2 linked regions of the Solanum lycopersicum genome follow. The protein of the gene in region 1 interacts with the protein of each later gene in a pairwise test. Links are inferred from orthologs where the notes say so. Each region holds a gene or a part of one and is shown on either strand. Other genes may lie near its edges. The genes, in order: increased DNA methylation 1 and increased DNA methylation 2.

What was found.
Region 2: the proteins of increased DNA methylation 1 (region 1) and increased DNA methylation 2 interact in a two-hybrid assay, tested with the Arabidopsis thaliana proteins (3 studies listed by BioGRID, with this or other methods). The link is inferred for Solanum lycopersicum from reciprocal best matches to the Arabidopsis thaliana genes ROS4 and AT1G54840.

What each region holds. Positions count from the first base shown.
Region 1 is NC_090806.1:67,720,722-67,730,227, reverse strand, and holds the end of increased DNA methylation 1, read left to right. Parts: coding exon 1-859; intron 860-1,715; coding exon 1,716-1,836; intron 1,837-2,126; coding exon 2,127-2,209; intron 2,210-2,696; coding exon 2,697-2,938; intron 2,939-3,479; coding exon 3,480-3,566; intron 3,567-4,469; coding exon 4,470-4,569; intron 4,570-4,877; coding exon 4,878-5,079; intron 5,080-5,178; coding exon 5,179-5,570; 3' UTR 5,571-5,711; downstream 5,712-9,506. Other genes in the region: probable beta-1,3-galactosyltransferase 14, read left to right, coding at 6,124-6,494, 7,815-7,967, 8,049-8,131, 8,249-8,348. UniProt on the Arabidopsis thaliana protein: Histone H3 acetyltransferase that binds methylated DNA at chromatin sites lacking histone H3K4 di- or trimethylation and catalyzes H3K18 and H3K23 acetylation. Prevents the transcriptional silencing of transgenes and of some endogenous genes.
Region 2 is NC_090800.1:85,087,068-85,097,515, forward strand, and holds increased DNA methylation 2, read left to right. Parts: upstream 1-5,526; 5' UTR 5,527-5,637; intron 5,638-6,328; 5' UTR 6,329-6,362; coding exon 6,363-7,578; intron 7,579-7,711; coding exon 7,712-7,992; 3' UTR 7,993-8,233; downstream 8,234-10,448. Other genes in the region: gamma conglutin 1-like, read right to left, coding at 1-615; signal peptidase complex subunit 3B, read right to left, coding at 1,388-1,513, 1,596-1,682, 2,093-2,146, 2,948-3,010, 4,395-4,442, 4,567-4,692; cation/calcium exchanger 5, read right to left, coding at 8,656-9,420. UniProt on the Arabidopsis thaliana protein: Prevents DNA hypermethylation and transcriptional silencing of transgenes and of some endogenous genes. May act as a molecular chaperone of IDM1, regulating its H3K18 acetylation activity.

The sequences.
Region 1 (9,506 bases):
ACATGCACTAACCTCGATTGGAGGATCTGATAATATGACCAAATCTCTGACAATAATTTCCGATGGTATACCTCATGCAGAAAGTTCAGTCTTGAAAAGGGAGGTCCTGAAGAAATCAAAGAAGTTATCAGAAATGGAATCCGCTAATGGCCAAGATGACCAGTGTGATCCATCTGGTAGGAAGAGTGGAGTTCATGAAGTAATTACAAGCAAACAAAACTCTGGGCCAAAGAAACGTAAGAAATGCCGTCTTAGTGACGATGATCTCTTAATTTCAGCCGTATTTAGAAACACGACATGCAAATCTGGCAACAAAAGGTCCTCTGGTAAAATCAAACCTCTAAGGAAAAGGAAGAACCAGAAAAGTGGTGGTAAGTTGCTTTTACGTAGTCTTATTAAGGGTGGAAAACACTTCCCCGAAGAAAAATGGCCTACCTTTGCCTCAAGGACTGTGTTATCCTGGTTAATTCATTCTGGGGTTGTCTCCCTAAATGAAATGATCCAGTACCAGAACTTGAAGGATGATTCTGTGGTAAAAACCGGCTATATTACCGCTGATGGAATATCGTGTAATTGCTGTGACGAGGTCCTATCCATCTCTAGCTTCAAAAAGCATGCCGGTTTTAAGCACAATCGCCCCTGTTTGAATCTTTTCATGGAGAATGGTAAGCCATTCACCTTATGTCAGCTTGAGGCTTGGTCAGATGAATACAAGGCACGGAGGGCAGTTTCTCAAACTTCCCAAGCTGAGGAAAGGGACCAAAATGATGACAGTTGCGGGCGATGTGGTGATGGAGGCGAACTGATTTGCTGTGACAATTGTCCAGCTACATTTCATCTAGCTTGTTTGTTCACACAGGTTCGTCTTTTGACTCTTTTCACTTAGTTTACTTGTTCGAGTCAGTTTGATGCCTTTATCTTGCCTTGAATAAATAATTTTCTTGCTCAACATTTATGTTTAATTCACTTGTAAATTGTAAGATGTCAAAAGATCCGTCCTAGCGCTTTATGCATGGGTTCTTATATGATTTTATATGACGTTATATAAACAGAACACCAAAGAAGTTGCATGTCTTGTTCAGTCCTTACTCTCAATTATTTCCCTTTCAGGACTCGTCTTTCCACCAAAACAGTCCAAGGGATTGCTGTGCATGGATTTCTTGCTTTAATGACATTTTTGTCTTAGTACTTTAATCTGCATATTACTTGACATGACTTCTTATTTCTATTCTATTCCCCATAAAATAATAGAAAGGTTTCACATAATTAAATACGGGTATTTGTCGAATATCGCTAACCAAATGCTGCATAACATTATGTGAAATGGAACATATTTGCACTCTACTTAGTTGGGGTCAAATATGTCCTTGTCTTCACTTAAATGGACTATATTACCCTCATTTTCTTCGTAATCACTTGCTTTACTTTGTTTTTATTGCCTTTTTACCATTTTCGCAAGTCGTACCATGGTTTCTCTACAAACCTGTACTCTATTTGTTTGCCAATATTGTTCATTCTCAAAAAACTAAATTATTTACCAATATTGTTTTGGTTTTGTCTCTGCACTAGGCATGATTGTATGATTATTCTAAAATATGTCTTGGTTTCCCTTTGATTTTGTTGCGTATCATATGAAGTTGAGTACTGAATTTGTTTAATGACACTGGACAAGAGATATAAATTCTAGTAGATTAACTTATTATTTCTTGTTTCAGGAGCTTCCTGAAGGGAGTTGGTACTGTTCACAATGCACGTGCCAGAAATGTGGGGACGTGGTTAGATGTAGTGAATCAAGTTCTCCTGGTGGATATAAATGTTCACAATGTGAACATAAATGTGAGTTTTCCCATGAACTTTGACTTGTTTGGTTTCTATTCTTTTCCCATTGCAGGCCTGAAAATGTCCAAATATTGGTATTGGAGCTCTGTATTCAGTTCTTACCAGAATGCATGGTCTAAAATAATACTAAGATTTTGCATTTGGCAAACTTCACAAGCCTCGATCAGAGAATTATCATCTTCTTTCACATTTGTTCAGTTATGGGGGGCGGAAAATATATAATCCTTCTCAAAAGTCTTGGTTTTCTGTTACTAAATTCCTCAATGGCTTTGATGACTTTTGAACAGATCATGAAGCATGCAGTGATTTAAGGATTACAAAAACTGGTCTGGCCTCTGATACATGGTTCTGCAGCGAAAGCTGTCAAGAGGTGAGCTAGTCATCTCAGCTTTACCTTTTTCATTACTATAAAACGAGCTTGTTCAATGATGTAAATCCCTGATGCAGTTCAGTGTAAGATAAAACAAACCAACTTTCATATTTCTCTCTCTTCTAAAGTTTTAGTGTGGAGTGTGAAGTTCTATCGGTGGTTACTAGTTCCTTTTGAATGTGATATGTCATGGCAGGAGAATGTGATATGAAATATGATTGTTATATTGTCAATGTATCATGAGTAGGTCTATCTAAAAGTAACAGCTAAACTAAAAGCAGAAATTTTTGCACCATCTATAGTAATAGTAAAAAATATCTGTTTTTCACTGCAAAGTACTGTTCTGTGGCCTTGGATTAAGTTCACCTGCTTGATTTCCTTGATAAGTGAAAGATTTTGGCATGAGAGAATATCAACTTCATTGCAAGGTTGACTATGAATTATTTTGGTTGTCTTTCAGAAAAACTTAAGCGATACTCTTTTGCAGGTTTATGAAGGTCTTCACTCTCGCATTGGGTTCGTTAATCATCTGGCTGATGGCTTTTCATGGACAATTCTGAGGTGCATTCTCGGTGACCACAAAGTTCATTCTCAGCGGTTCATTGCTTTGAAGGCAGAATGCAACTCAAAGTTAGCAGTTGCCCTTACGATTATGGAGGAGTGCTTTCTTCCCATGGTGGATCCAAGAACTGGCATAGATATGATACCCCATGTGATATACAGCTGGGGGTGAGTTGCTTCCCATAAACTCTTTTTTATCTTGGCATACTGCTGTGCTTACCTTTGTGGTTGGGTATATTGCTTAATGCTTATTCTTCCACATTCTTCTAAAGCGGTTGTGAAATTAGCAACAGCCTACATGTTTTAACAAAATTCCCGCACTTGATAGATAAGGCATTATTCCTAGCATGTCTTGTTCATTCTGTTCTCATTCAATTATTCAAACTAATTGAATGGAAGGTTGAACTATAAATTTAAGAATAATATATTTTATGTTGAAATGACAGAGGAACTTTACAAGAGCAGTTTTATCTGAAGCATTATGTTGTAAGGCATATAATGACAATATGCAAAAAATTGAATAAGTTTCATTTTATTTTATTTTTGAAATTGGTAACTATGAATAAGTTTCATCTATTCAATGCGCCAAATCAAAAGGTGTCTTTTGGGTCTTGCATCCATGGTGTCATTTGACTATGTTCATATCAACGTTACAAAATACAATGACACTTAAGTGGTGCTGAAAGACTTATCTTTAAAATATTTACAGATCACAATTTTCTCGGTTAAATTATCTTGGATTCTACACGATGATCCTGGAGAAAGATGACATATCAGTAGCTGTAGCATCAGTAAGGTAATTCTTTACAATCTTGAATGCAATTGTCCATTGTTATTGCTTGTTCTATAAGCTCGACACCTCTATTGCAATGCTGATATTCTTGGAGCATATGCATCTTTTCTGATTTGCTTTGTGCTCCTTTACCTTCTATTTGTGGCCTGTTTTCTTTTGTTTATTTTAAAGAAAAAATGTCAGTGTTATTGGAGTTGGAACATTAGAAGGAAAACCGAAACATTTGGAGTTGAAGCTTCCTTTTAAGTTCTTTAATATGACATCTTAAGCTTGCAATTTCAATTTCATGGTTCCATCTTGACCTGATCTTTTGGTTTTTATGCTATGTTTGTGTTTCTTACTGTACGCCTTTCAATTACATCAAGAATTTTTTGTTCTTGCGAGTATTAGAAGTATTTTCTCCTGTCGGCTGCTTAAAATTGAAAGGCTAGACTGTGATTAGTGATGGCCTTTTCTCATATTGCATGTGCATTGCCGGTTGTTTCTGTTATTTATGCTTGATAGACTATTAGGTGTTTTTGGAATTTTATAGAAATTTTTTTCATCTGGAGGTTTCTGGATAACTGGTGCATTCATATCTGTTACAGAAGGTGCTTGGAAGAAAGATACTTCAAGTATTGTTGACTAGTATATAAATTTCTCTGACTAAAAAAAAGAAAAAGAAAAAGATTATATAGAAATTTCTTAACTATCACTATTCAATCCCTACGTTTACTATATGGGAATGCCAAAAGGAGTTATAGTTTACCTGAGACCTTTTTCCCATAACCTCGATCATTAATTATGAGTCTGTGACTAGCAAGCTGTGGCCTCCTTGCTGTCTGTTTGATGAAACCATCTCACTAAAATCAGGACTTTTTCTGGGGCGACGATCTTTATCTGAATCAGAATTTGGTTCTTTTGCAGGATCCATGGAGTAACAGTTGCTGAGATGCCTCTAATTGCAACATGCAGTAAATACCGCCGCCAGGGAATGTGCAGGCGCCTACTAAATTCTATACTGGAGGTAATCTGACAGGAAAACAGTGTTATAATTGCCGGGTGTCCCACTCAGATGTTCCACGTAGTACAGGGTGGGACATAAGCCCCAAAAATGGGTGTTCATCCTGTGGAATTTTAATTTGATATGATAAAAAATTATAGGAAGTGTTGAATTATTTTAAATAAATGTTTGACATGCTATACTTATGAACCCCTTGCTTGTTGCAGTCTTTTCCTGGATTATGGAGCTTGTGATGCACATTATCTTTTATTTTACGGTGAAGCAAGGTTTTGCCATGTATGCTTACTTGTTTCCCTTGTGATGACATCCAGATGCTAAAGTCGTTCAAGGTTGAGAAACTTGTCATATCAGCTATTCCAGGTTTAGTGGAAACATGGACTTGTGGCTTTGGCTTTGAACCCTTGGAAGATCACGAGAAACGAAGTCTAAGTCATATCAACCTCATGGTGTTCCCTGGAACTGTATGGTTGAAGAAGTCTTTGTTTCAAGCTGCTGATGCAGATCAACCGAGTGGTGAGTATTTAGTGTTTGATGTTCTTCAACTTTAAAGAATATAATTCTCTTTCTTAAACACTACAAACTGGAACTGATCTGTTTCATACTTGAAATCAGTTTGTCCGGGTGGAAATGGCCTCACCATTATCGAGCCCATGCAACATTGCGTGCCATCTCAAGATGTCAATGCAGGAGCTGATGTCAGAGACCCACCTCAGTCTGAGAGTTTGCAATTCTGTGAAGATGAAGGTGGTAGTAATCAGGATCTTGGGCAAGGCTGTGAAGGAAACACCATTAATCCAGAGCATCAAACCGAAACCAGGCTGCCGGACTCAAATGATTTGCAACCAGTGGAAGTGCTGTGTGTTGTTGATGCTCTGCCTAGCAAGTGCTCAAAACTCTCCGAGGAACCGGTTCTGACGTATATCAGCCATGGGGAAGCAGGTTGTAGAGTAGATAATTTGCAGATGAATGTGGATAGTCATTTTTGTTTAGATGAAGTGAATTAATGTGTTGTAGGGGAATGTGTAATGACGTTGATAATTTATAATTTCGTAGCTATACACCAGTGACTTTGTCAAGCAGGATAAAAAAAATAAGCAAAACGATGCGGAAAATGAAAAATTTGGGCGAATTGCTTTTTCAAGCCATTTACAATCTTCTTCTTTTTTTCAAAAGTTTTATGAGTTTTACACCTAAAATATTTGAAAAAACTATTTTCTTTTTATCCATTTTACAAGTGGTCAAAAGATTAATGGAGTTAATTACCATTTCTCAATGCGTCTAAGAATAGCTAGCTACCTGATTCCTTTTGGTGGCTATTTCTTCACGTTTTATTGATCAGTGTTGCATTTTTTGGTTCTTCACAGATTTCAAAAGATAAATATTTTTAAAATCTAGAATCAAAAACTTGCTAAATATAATAATTTCAGGAAGAGGACAAAGATGGAGGAAACCTGCAAGAATTCATCAAACAAGAAAGTGTAAACTTCCATAACAGAGCTAAAATCTCAACTCCCAACACCAATTTTGATCCTGTGCTAATTTTACTCATAATTTGAAATGCCTTCATCTCCTAAATCTTTCAATGCTTGGCCATCTTCTTCTTCATCCTCAACTATCTACTCCCGCAGATCGACGGTCCTGATCTTCTGTTCTCTCATCGGTGTAGCTGGGTTTATCTTCGGTTTTATTGCAATTTCGAAGCAGGGTTTAGGGTCAAATTGTAAATATGCTGAACCTCGATCTGTTTCTGTTGTTTGGGATAGAAGTGGTAGTAAGGCAAGTGAAGATGCTGATGGAGTTTCAGATGAAGGGCAAAAGAGGCATAAAGTTATGGGATTTGTTGGGATCCAAACTGGGTTTGCTTCCACTGGTCGTCGCCGGTCGTTGAGGCAAACTTGGTTTCCTTCTGATCATGAAGGCCTTCAAAAGTATGAATACTACTCTCTCTGTGATTTTTTATGAATGTGGAATTAAAAAAAAAAGTAATCTTTAGTTTATTGTTGTGCCTCTACCTCCACGAGGTAGAAGTAAAGTTCGGATACACGCTACCCTCCTCAGATTCCACCTAGTGAGATTACGCTGACTATTTTGTTGTTCTTGTTGTAGTTAATTGATGTGAGTTACCTCCATGTTGTAGAAGTAAGGTTTGCATACACCGTAGCCTCCCCAGACTCTTACACTAGCTATGTTGTTGTTTTTTAGTAGTTTATTGATCTGCTGTGAGATTTCATAAAACCATGCATAATTAATACAAACTTAGTCAAGAGAAAGACACAATGGAAGGGATAGCTATGAGGTTTCATTAAACCATGTTTAATTTAATACAAACTTAGTTAAGAAAAAGATGCAATGGAAGGGATAGCTCTGAGATTTCATAAAACCATGCGTAATTAATACAAACGTAGCTAAGAGAAAGATGCAATGGAAGGGATAGCTCTGAGATTTCATAAAACCATGTGTAATTGATACAAATGTAGCTAAGAGAAAGACATGGAAGGGATAGCTTGAGATTCATAAAGCCATGCGTAAATAATACAAACTTAGTTAAAGTAAATGATACAATGGAAGGGATGGTTGTCAGATTTCATAAAACCATGCGTAATTAATACAAACTTTTTTGATACAGAAAAAAAAAAGTTTGTATTGATTAGACATGGTTTTATGAAAGATGCAATGGAAGGGATAGGTATGAGATTTACCTTCATTTGGAAATTCACATTATCTAATAGATATGCATTTTAATGAAACTCGACGTGAGGTGTTTGAGTATTTACTGTGTAGTCTTTCTTATAGTCATCAGATTAAAAATCTAGTTTAGTTTAGTCGATTTTATAAACGTTGTATCGTTTTGTTGTTTTTACTGGTAGCTTGCTCTTGTAGTTTTATATGCTTGTGTGTCATAGGGAATAAATTGTTGTGTATGACTTGTGGTTAAAAGACATTTTCTTAATTATGTGGAAATTGAGTTATTCATAGAACAATTTTATCATGCTCTTGTTGAATTGAACTGGAAGTTTCCTGCCATATATATCGGCGATGATACCTCTTTTTGTCTCCTTTTGCGGAAAAAAAAAAAGAAAAAAGGAAAAAAAGAATTTCCTTTTTCGCTAAGCACTTAGAACTAGATATTTCACAAATGAACTCAATGTTATTCATTTATTTGTTATGTTTATATGTAGTTGTGTTTCTCTGTCTCTATATGTTTCTTGAATCTATACTTTGCTAAACTGACGTAAATAAAATTGCAGGTTAGAAGAAGCTACTGGCTTGGCTTTTAAATTTGTAATTGGTAGAACAAGTGATCAATACAAAATGGCAGAGCTTAAAAAAGAGGTAGCAGAATATGATGATTTTTTACTATTAGACATTGAAGAGAAGTACAGTAAGCTACCATACAAAACGTTAGTTCTGGCTGCTTTCATGTAGTAATTCATCATTTTTCCTTTTTTGGTTTCCTATACTTACTCAAGTTGTTTTTCCAGCATAGCTTTTTTCAAAGCTGCCTATGCGCTTTATGACTCTGAATTTTATGTTAAAGCTGATGACGACATATATTTGAGGCCAGGTAACAAGAATTTTGAAGCTTTTCTATTCTTACTGCTCTTTACTTGTCATTCTTGTTATGCATTTACCATGTCCTAGAATTTTGATGTACTTGAGTTGCTTTAATTTTCCATTACAGACCGCCTTTCACTGCTCTTGGCCAAAGAGCGCCCTCACTCCCAAACATACCTTGGATGCATGAAAAAGGGTCCAGTTCTCACTGACCCCAAGCTCAAATGGTGAGTCTCATAATTTGCCTGCATGCCATATATTCGAATATAATGCTGGTATCTAGTTTATTTGCTCCATACTTGTAGGAACTTAGTCCCTCCATTTCTAGTTGAATGCCTCAGTATTATTTTGGAGGACTAATAAGATGGGAGTTGACTATGTTTTGCGAGTAAGTAGTTGGTGGCTGACTGAGGTACTACACATACTCACATTACTTAATTTTACAACTTGACTCTTAAACAGACCATGGTAGCGAATCTAAAAGATTGTAATAAATTCTTGCACCAAAAACAGAGAACTATATATATGTGTGAAGGGGTTGAAGATAAACTAAGCACAGTATTAGCAGTCTTGTTTAAGTTTAGGACACCACACTTGCATGTGTTTAAGTGTAGACACTCAAGGGCTAAGCCAAGCATTACATCACCCATTGGCTCTATATGGAAAAGGATGGCACTAAACAACAAGCATAGCTAGCAAAGTGTAATATTAATTACCTTCTAGTAAAAAAGAAGTAATATTAATTGCTAAGTAACCAGTATGAATGATGCTGACTAAAAAAGGAAATTAGAAATCTAGTAAGAAAACTAGTTGCTAAATCTATTTTAGTAATTCAAAAAATGCATCTTTGCATTTGAATTAGAAATGTGAAGATGGTTCTTGACCTTGATTCATATGATATTTACTTCATATATTTATCTTAATTGTTGTTCTTCTAATTCTTTTGCCCATATACTTATTGTTTGAGTTTATAGTTATTTTCCCTTCCATTAAATATATAGAACTTTTTTCATCTGTATGTTTCTTCACTAATGTCGAGCATTAATTGTGCTGAGAGCCTCGGCAGATTTTGGCACTTTTCGATGCATTTTTACCTTAAACAGCACTAACACTAATATAAGGCTCCAAAAGGAAATGGTAGCTTGATTTTGAAGGTGTAAAAAACTGCAAGTGTTTACTATAGTATTTGGTGGACTGCACAAAATCCAGCGGGTCTTCTGTGTATATGTTAATACTGTCTCCTGCTCTTCCTTTTGACTTAACACCTCTGTTGAGAAGAGTTCCTTTAAACCCAGTCCATTCTCCCTGCAGATATTTATACTATGAGAAAGGATGTTTTGGATTTTATCACAAACAAATTGTGCATCAATGGCAATGTAGCTAAC
Region 2 (10,448 bases), on another chromosome or scaffold:
GAATCCAAAATGAGAGGCAAATTGAATTGGGAGAGAGACTGAACCGTGAGCTAATCCAGCTACTCCTTGGACATTATTAGGAAAAGGATCTTGTGACAAAGATGAAGGTGAACAAGCAAAAAGGAAGTGGCGAATAGTAACTAAAGGACCATAGTTTGAACCAGATTGAGTAATGGATTGAATGGAGAGAGAATCCTGAGCAACTTCACTGGTTGCAGTTTGGCTAGTTAAAGGATTTGTTGTTGTAACAGCACAAGTGTTGTTATGGCAACCAGGCCTAGGAGTAGTGGAAAAGCATTTGTTGCACGAATGAGAACCAAAGCGAGAACATTGAGTTGACTGACAAAAGGGGGCTAAATAGGTTGATGAGAGGTAATTTTTTTCGCAATTTAACCATAAGAAGTTGCCATTCAAATCAATCAGCAATGGGATGGATTGCTGGGGAGTTCCTTTTGTGATGTTGGTTATGTGAAGACCAGTGGCAGAATCCTTAAAGACTTGCAAAGCAAGGCCGTCAGGTTTGAAGGGAGCTCTAGTAACTTGTGATTGTGATAGGTATACAAGATTTGAGACTGCTAAGAATGTAAGAAGAAAGTTGAGGATTGATGATGCCATATTAAGAGAGACTGATGAGAGAACAGACAGTTGTTATTACTTTGTATGGTGATGAACAAACACATTTTATAGTATGGGAAAGGTCTTAGTTTATCTTCAGTTATGGATAGAGACAATAGTTGAGCTATTTTGTCGTTTTTAATGGATGTCAGGCTTGCTTTTGTCTCTCGTTAAATCAATGACGCTAAACAGGGGATCCTGTAAACAAGCTCAGTTTAGCATGTTACAAGTCGATTCCTGAGTATTCGAGGTTTTAAGACATGGTATTTTGATGATAAACTTCACTCTCTTAGTTGCTTTACAAGTGTTTCCGCAAAACCCGTATAGTGTTGTCATTGTTATTTTGTTTCATCCTCCTCAATGACCTCCAACTGATTCATCATAACCTTATCACATCTTCCTTTACTTAACAGTAACAAGTCTCCTTTTCACTTATTACACTCTCAACTGATAAAAATGGCCTGCAGCTGGGAACTTCACTATTAGCTACGTTCCACAAGGTTTTTTTCAGTTCCAACTTCAATCACTTCGTTCCAATATTGATTGTTCATCTCCTACCCGGAAAAGAAAGGGAATAATGGTGGTTTTAGTCACACAAAACAATCATAATATCAAAGGTCTAAAGTATCAATATTATAATTTGAGGCCGATAAACAGCAATCCTGACATTATCCGGGACAAAATTATCCTATTCATCTCATTTAAGCACATTCTCCCCTACTTATCAGTGGAGGCTAAAGTTACAGGTAAATTGCACCGAGGAAAAAATTCATCATCTGTATGTCTCTGGCAAGCGGTAACCAGTCATCACAAGTTTGTTCGCAGACATTTTCCCTGTCTTTGGCATAACGTGCCAATGCAATGTTAGGTTAAAAGCTTTACCACGGAGGTTGCTTCCCTACAAACAAGGAATTAGGTACTTGTGAAAATCATGAGATAAAGAAGAAAGCAGAATAAGGCAAAATGCTTCAGAAACTAACCTGATCAACAAACCGATACTTGTTTGTGGTGTGAATCAAAAATTTTGCATGTTCCTTGGTGGGAATAATACCATCCCACAAAGATATCTGTTAGTAAAACAATCAGGTCAGTAGAAGGAATCATACCAAACTCTCATCGGGTAGGAAAACAAAATACAAAACAAATTCTCAAGCAGGTCCTAAAAATTAATGAGTTGACGTATCCTTGGAGCTTCTAAAGCCTGCTCCTCAAATTTGGAGAAGACAGCCCCACGAGGCTTCACTAAGCATACATTCATACTTACAGGAAAATCCTATCACTGACAACAAAGTACAGGACCGTTGATTTACAAGGAGAAGCAAAGGGCAGATATGTTGATACATACTGTGCTAAGCCTTACTTTCAGTTGCAATACATTTATCAGACAAAGACACGAGCCTCAAATAAGATCTAACTAACAAATGAAATACAAGGAAGATATTAATTATATGCAGTTCTCAACCAATAGAAGATAGACCTGATTCAAAGCGTTCTTTGGAGTTTCATACTCAGCTGCCAAAAATACGAACACCTGCAAAATTTTAAACATTATTAGAATTGCACAGTTGCTAGAAGTAACTATAAAGGTAATCCAACCAACAGAGATCTGACCGATCAATGCCAACATATCTCTTAAAGTGTTCGAAGTTAAAACTAAAAAACTTTGAATTCAGAAATCTAGGAAACTTATTGCACGTAGTCTTGTTCTTTTTGAAATATTCCAGTCTCTTGTTACACATGTTAGGTAGCAGAATTTCAATATATGGTATACTGAAGCTGTAAAGACACTCTAAATCCCGTCCTCCAAATTCTCAAGGAAAATAAAAAGGGAGGAAACAAAATAGAACCAGCTTTCTCACAAGCACTGCAACAGGAATAATTTAAGTTCATTTTAATTTTTACTAAAAAGAAAAGGTGAAAGAGGAAATACTGCACCAAGTCATTGGACTAACTGGGAAAACGTCAACAAATTGTACAAGAAGGCATAGATTTAACTATCTAACACTGGTTTATATAGTCACTAATAGCCTCGTAAATTTGTGTAATGCATTCTATTTTCCAATTTCCACATCCTGTAATCCAGAGTCTTAACCGTGGCATCAACATCTAATATGACCACCTCTCCCCTTCACTCTAGTGAACTCCAGTGTTTCAGAACGGGGATGAAAAGTATACATATATTATGTCTTAGAGATTAGCTTAATTGAGCATAAGATGTATACAGATTGATACATCCACACTTTCATACTTTACATAGAAGAAAATCAGACTCAAGTAATAGGGTTAAAAGAGTGAAATCCAAACTATGGTGCAAATAAAATAGACACTAAACCTGCTTCGTATTCCACGTGAACAATGACTGTAAATCTGCCGATATGTTCAAGGTCAAACTGACCTGCATAAAAGGAAAAGTATACATGATATAGACAAACTTCTTTCATTAAGTTCATATAACCACTCAACCAACAATGGTAACAAGAATGCTTAACAAAAGAGCAGCTACCAAGTTCATGTAGATCAACAAGATAAAGAAAATAAACTGACACCTTAGGCAATATAATGTGCTAGCATATTTTTTTATGATATTTCAATGATTAAGAGATCTAAAAAAACATACGATTATTTTTTTATGCACATATATCACATAGATTCATGAAAATACTAATAGAAGATTGTTTTTCCTCCAGAGTTTTACTCAAAAGTTGTCTGCGGTCCTTTCGCTCTAAACCGAACCGAAAAAAGTGGTTCAACATATTAGATGTTGGTTTAACGTATTTAAAACCCGATAGTACATAAAACCAAACCGACCCGACCAATGCACACCTCTAGTAAGCTTAGTTAGCCCTCTATTATTGAAGTTAATATTGGAAACTTACTGGCAACTCTAACATTTAAAATAGACTAAAAACCAATGGATACTCTAAGAAATTGGGAATTAGTTAATAGTATTACATATGATAGCTTTATCTTTACAATCTGGAACTGCAGATTTAGTTGAATGCCTCAAGGCACTCAAACAATGCAAAAGAAGAAGAGGATCTCGAAGGAGTTAGCCGACTTAGTTCCTTTTTCTGTACAGTAGGACTGTTTTATTTGGTCGTCTTTATCTAATGAATTATGTCCAATTTACTTGTGATTTCATCGAGGAATTCGTTGATTCTCTTCTGTTTGATCCCTGTGAGTTTGAGTGGTGAAGAAAGTCATAACTCATAACTTTTACTAGTATTTTCAAGAACAATGTGATATCATGGGGGTTTAGAGAAAATTAGTTCAAACCTTAACTAACAATTCATGATTATTTAGGTTGATACTCATGCCTAACTAGGAGGATCTCCTAGATTGAAATTGAAAATTTTTTTAGAGAGAAGGTATTATAATGGAGAGTATACAATTGATAGTACAAAGAATGTCCGTACATATATGCATCAAACTTGGTTATTGAAATTGAACAATGTTATAGTTATATTACCTCAAAACAGAAAATCTCAAGATTTTTCCATTCTCAAATGAGAAAGCAAACAAATTTAACCAAGAATGTACATAGATCACATAGATTCCTGATTCCTCAAAGAATCCAGCAATACCCATATTCAAGAATTTGAAATAGAAATTATTAGAAAAAAAAAAAGAAGAAAGGTCAACCATCATAGTTCAACCAGTTTTTGAACCCAATTTACAATCTCACATACCGAATTCAACAAAAATTAATCCGAAACTAAAAACCCAGAAAAACCCTTTATCAAAATCGACAGATACAAATCTTTCGTCAAAGAAAATACCTCATCGTCCCCATCAGGTTTCTTCTGGAACCAATTGATATTCAACACCTGCAGAAAATCAAGCGTTCAAACACGTGGGTCATTTACAAAATTAACAGATCTAATTACAATCGACAAAGTTAACAAAAGGAAAACATAGATTCAAGTAGGGTTTTTAAGGAGGTAGGTGTACTTGAACTTCAGTTGTTGGAATCGGAGTATTGAAATTGTCGGAGAAAGAAGCTATTCCACACATAAACGCAAGGATGGTGACTGCCAATGTTAACAAAGCATTAGCTCTATACCCAAATGAATGCATCTTTGCTCCCGATTTTCTTCAATTTTTGGTCTTCTCAGAATATGGAAAATGGGGCTTTTAACGCTTAAGAGTTCAGACTTTAGTCAAATCTTGTTTTTACCCTTCTCTCTTTTTTATTTTTGGTCTGAAATTTAATGGTTTGTGTTGAGTTGTCAATTTATTATTTGATAGAACATGTCAATACTCATCATCTTATATTGGAGTATCTTTATTTTATTGAGAGAAATGACAAATAATTCTTCCGTTATATTTTTAGATATCAATATTTTTATCATTTAAAATTAAGTATATATTTATTTTTTGATTTGATATTTAAGAAATGTTTAGTTGGTGAATAAGATTGTAATATGTATATATAATTTATGCTCTAATTTCTAATGATAAAGGCAACTATATCACAACAATTGGGGAAAGGTGGAGATGAACAAATTAATGCAACAACAAATATACCATTCAATAGTTAACTTTAAATATTAATTTTTAAGAAAAACATGTTCTTGATAAAGATAAATATAGTGTTTTAATTAATACAACAAGTATTCCACGACATATCATTTCTTATTATAATTTTAAATTTCTAAGTATTCTATACTTTATTCTTATTTTATTTTTTCAGTCAATACCATAAATCGATTTAAAAATACTAAATTAAATCAAACTAAAGTAAAAAAAATCAAACTAAAGTAAATTAATTTGATTTACAATGCACATTTTTTTTAAAAGCAAATCAAAATTTGATAAAATCAAACCGCTTGAACTAAAGGCTATTTACCGTATAAGAAAAAACAATTCTTATATAATATTATTTACCAATTATATTGCATAACCAAGTAAAGGACGCGTGGCAGTGATTGGGATGACTGATTTCTGAAAAACCTCGTTGCTTTCTTTTGTGGCACTAGCAAATAGTTCAACTTACTCTCTGGAGAAGGAGAATTCATTGTGGTATGCTTTCTACACTTCACTTATTGATTTCTCACTTTGGAAAAAAACATAGAGTTGTATTTTACATTTTGTATTTCCTAATTTTACACTTCACTTGATGTCTTCTTTTTGTCAATTTTTCTCTGATTCTGGATTTGTACTATCATGTTTTTAGTGTTCTTGCATGTAAGAATCATCAATGAGTTGTTGCATGTGGATGTGACTTGCCAATGTGTTGATCTAGTGTAGAAATTGCTCTTAATTTGTGTTTGTACCTGCTTAAATCCAGTCTAGTGAAGCAATTTTAAGTTATCTATGTCAAAACAGATAGGCAGCCTAAACTATATTTTTGGAAAATGCTCTGTTGCATTTACTTAAAAGGCTCCCCTTTTTATGTACAAAAATATCCTCATGGATGACTTACAGAATCTCAATTACTAATCCTTTTGTGTGTCTTTGTCGTTCTAACCATCAAAATCATTCTTGATTTCAACCTTCCGTTTGCGAAATCCATATACGGTAATAGATGGTAAAAACTCCATATAATTGATCTTTTGAACTCGCTTCAAGCTATAATCACATATCATCAATCTTAGTGTTTACTTCTTCTTCTTTTTTCACTACTTACTGTCTTCATTGTATATGTTTCAACCGTGTTTTTTACTCAAGTCTAGAGTCAATATTTTTATCTGTTTCATTTCATCTGAAACAGATTAATCACAGAGTTCTTACTCTTTCCATCGAGCATGGACAACAACTTCACTGGATTGGTTCCAACGGATGATCAGTTTTTCCTCCTTTACTTCATCATTGGAACCTTCTTTGGACCAGATATCCCCGTAGAATATCCCAAAAGGTCAGTTTTGCAAAGAAAGGGTCTAGGCTTACCTCCATACAGTTCCAATCAATTAGCTGGTTCATGCCTAAGAACCATAGAAGTAGAAAGGGTTTACTATCATGCATTGAGAAAGGCAGATCGGTCTGTTGTCCTGGCACAACCGTGGCTGCACCAGTACTTTCATGGGAAGCTTCCTACTCTTTACCGTAAACAACCAGCAGCTTATCCTCGGTTCTGTGATCTGTTTCCTCCCAACCTGCATCCCCATTTATGCTGTCATGTGTATAATGTTATTGCAAACATTGTGTTCATCCATGACCCTGATACCAGTTATATCGAACCAGATAGTGTTAAGAGGTTCAAGAAGCTCACTGGTCTAGAACATCTGGTCATGGACAAAGATTGCACAAAATCACAAGCCGATGTTGATTACGAAGCTCTAACTAATATTCGAAACAAGGAGATATCCAATCCTGGTGATATCCTCCAATATGCATCATTAGCTGCTAGTAGCCTACCATATAAGGAGATACCTTCAAGTACTGAGCCATTTAAGGATTTACGACTTGACAATGAACAATTTGACTATATGTCTTTTACTAGTCTTTTGAAGGATGCTTCTGATGAACCATTTAATGGTGTGCCACCTGATAGCAATGGACAATCTGACACTAGACCTTTTAGTGGTCTCTTGAATGATGGCTCATGTAGTAATATGCCACCTCATCGCAATCGACAATTTGACACTACACTTTGTAGAAGTCTCTTGAGGAATGATGCTGTCAGCCAGTTTACTGATGCGCCACCAGATAGCTCTAAAAAATCTGATGATACTCCTTTTAGTAGCCTCTTTAAGGATGTCAGTCCACTGGCGGAAGAGTCTATGGGTCCATCATCAAAGCACACCAACTCTGACGACTCAGAGCTTAGCATTGTCTTCCTTCCTTCTTGCCCTTCTATGGAGGAGCTAAGTAACATTGTTGGTGCTACTAAAAGTGGATTTGCAGTGGCTGGGAGTGCAGCGAAGGGTAAGATAGGACCAGTTCTCGGGCTCTTGGATGTAGGAGAAAGTGAGGATGCTTACTTGTTCCGTGTATCACTCCCTGGAGTACAGAGAGATGAAAGTAAGTTACAATCATGATCTAAAATATTTTTCACATCTGAATTTGCAATTAGTCCCAGTTGACATATTTGATCTGCCAAATCCTTTTACAATATGGCGCACTGCATTCTTCTGATGATTTTGGATTCGACCAGGACTAATTTGTTCAAAATCTATGGTTAACTCAGGAGAATTTACTTGTGAAGTGGAGATTGATGGTAAAGTATTGATTAAGGGAATGACAACTGGTGATAGGACAGTCCACAAGTACTCTCAAGTATTCGAGATGCAAACTCAGAACCTATGTCCAACAGGAAATTTCACCATCTCTTTCAAGCTGCCAGGCCCAGTTGACCCTCAAGCATTTTCTGGTATTTTTGGCACTGATGGAATTCTCGAGGGAATCGTATTGAAAGCAGAAACATATTCTCAATAGAATAGGGTAAATTAGTGTCTTGTTAATTAGGAGGTAGTACCTCTACAAATTGCAACCTAGCTTATGTCTATGATAATAGTAATTTGGTGTGAATGCAACCAACTTACCTGTTCAATTACAAGTAAGGTAAGGTGTAAAAAGCTTAAACAGGCTGACCCACATTTAAAGATCAATCTGGGTGTAAAATCTACATTACTTAATTATGACAATTGATCACGTAACACAAAATCAACAATAATAACCTTTATCCAGAGAGCTAAGCAGTACTCTATTTTTAAAAAAAATGATAGTATGATTCGAGTAGTTCTGCATAAATACGAAGTTAAGCATTTTTCTCTATAATTCTGTTGAATTTCACAAGAAAAAATGTACTGGCTTACATGAAGCTTCTAGTTGACCAGAAATTTACTATACAACCAGTGGATTATGCTTTCCAGCTCACTTTACTCACTCCACAATGAACTGAAAAAAAAAATGAATTATTATGTTCTTGAATGGAAGCCAATAAGATCTTTAACTGATAAGTGAATGAAGGCTATCAACATAACCATTTCCTAGATATTGTGGCAAAGGCGCACTTGCCACCTACTTCATCTTCAAGAGTTTAGCAGCCCCCGCATGGTTCCAGACCAGTGATGGATGAATCAATTGTCTCTCCAAAACTCAGGCAGAGAACGTGGCAATGATCAGGCTTATTATCATGAATACAACATAGAGTCCTACTAGGCAAAATCCCCAGAATCTTGGCACCCGGAACCTATTCCAAGTAACTAAAAGCAAAGATCCCATCAAGCTCAATAGCAAGAAAACAAAAGCAACCACGATACTCACGTGGAGATGAAGCTCATAAGCTTCTGGATATACATTTGCTGTCTGCATAACCAAAGCAGTTCCAAGCCCAAAAAGCATGTTAAACATTGGCCCAGCAAAACATCCAGCCATGGCCATGGCCGGTTGGCCAGCCTTTGCTACAGCCACGTCTGCAACAAGATCACCTACTGAGTTTCCCCATGCAAGCACCGTTAAACCAAGAAAGGCAGCAGGCAGTTTCAGGAGCTCTCCAAGAACGGCAAGACAGTTGAGAAGTTCCCCAGCAACTGTGGAGATCCAAAATACACTCATAACAAATGCTATAACAACTGCAGGCATTTGCTCAGTTTTAGGGGCCTCCTTTTCAACAATGAAATGTACAACAGCCAAAGAACACGTAGCACAAAGTACAATGAACCAAAGAGGCAAATGGGTGTCTGAGAGAAGGAAAGAGATTGGATGATTTAATGGCACAAAAGATTTGCAGGAAAACAGAAGGAGGAGGGGGCAGAGAGCAATGTTGGAAGATAAACAGAATCTATTCCATTCAGAAGGTGCAGTCTGTGGTATGGTGAGCCTAAGGAGCATCGAGACAGGAAGTTTCCAGATTAGAGAGACCTGTCAAAAAAGAAATATTAAAATGTCAAAATGAAAATATTAAAATAGCTACACATTAAACTGAGATGCTGTGAACACCATCAAAATCCATAAAATAGAAGCATGGATTTAGTGTGCGCCTGATGGATTCTTCACGAGTGATCTAGTCAACAACATGGATTGCAGAAAGAAGCAACTAGCTTCCATAAAACACACTGAGAACATATTCCCACATAAAACACACTCACTTATCAAAAGATACTTGGTATGTTTAGATGTTACATTTATTATTGATTTTTTTAGAGTTTAGAGCCATGAGAAATGCTATGGTCATCATAATTCTTATGGCTTGATATAAAAATAACTTCCAGAAGGAGTGCAATCCAACTTCTTAGGCATGCTCTTCTGTTTGTCAGTTGCTTGCCCCCTATTCATTTCCTTCCTTGCACTTGAAAAGCATGGAGATGAAGTTCATTCCACATTTTGACATCCATTATGCCAGTGTCACGTCAGGGACTGCACCATGTAAGGTGTGCTCAGGCTACATTATTGTTACGAAGAGCTGCCTCATAATCCCCCTTCTCAATGATTGTATTGAGATTTAATTTCCTTTTTGTAATAAATTCTCCTTGCTTCTCTAATTTTCTCTCAATGAAGTTTTCCACTTTTATTACTAGATCTTGCCGTTCCTTGTTAAATGCATTTTCTGGAATAATAATTACTGATCTACTCCCTTCAGTTTGATAACAGAAATAAATCGATGGTACTTATTGAACTTCAGGGAGCAATAAACATATGTCGAAATGTCTCTGCATCTCTCAGATTTGAAGTCCCCCCCCCCTCCCCCTGCTTTCAGAAGCTTCCTTCTAATCTTTTGCATAACCAAAGTAAAGCTCCCCTTCTCAATATCATATGTCCGATAGACATCACTGTACTCTCCACCAACTCGAAACCATACCTCTGAAGCAGATACTGGTCTGTAAGATCATAAGATTCTGTCTGAAATATAACCACTCCATGTTCCAAGTAAATGCTACCTGAAAGAAAAG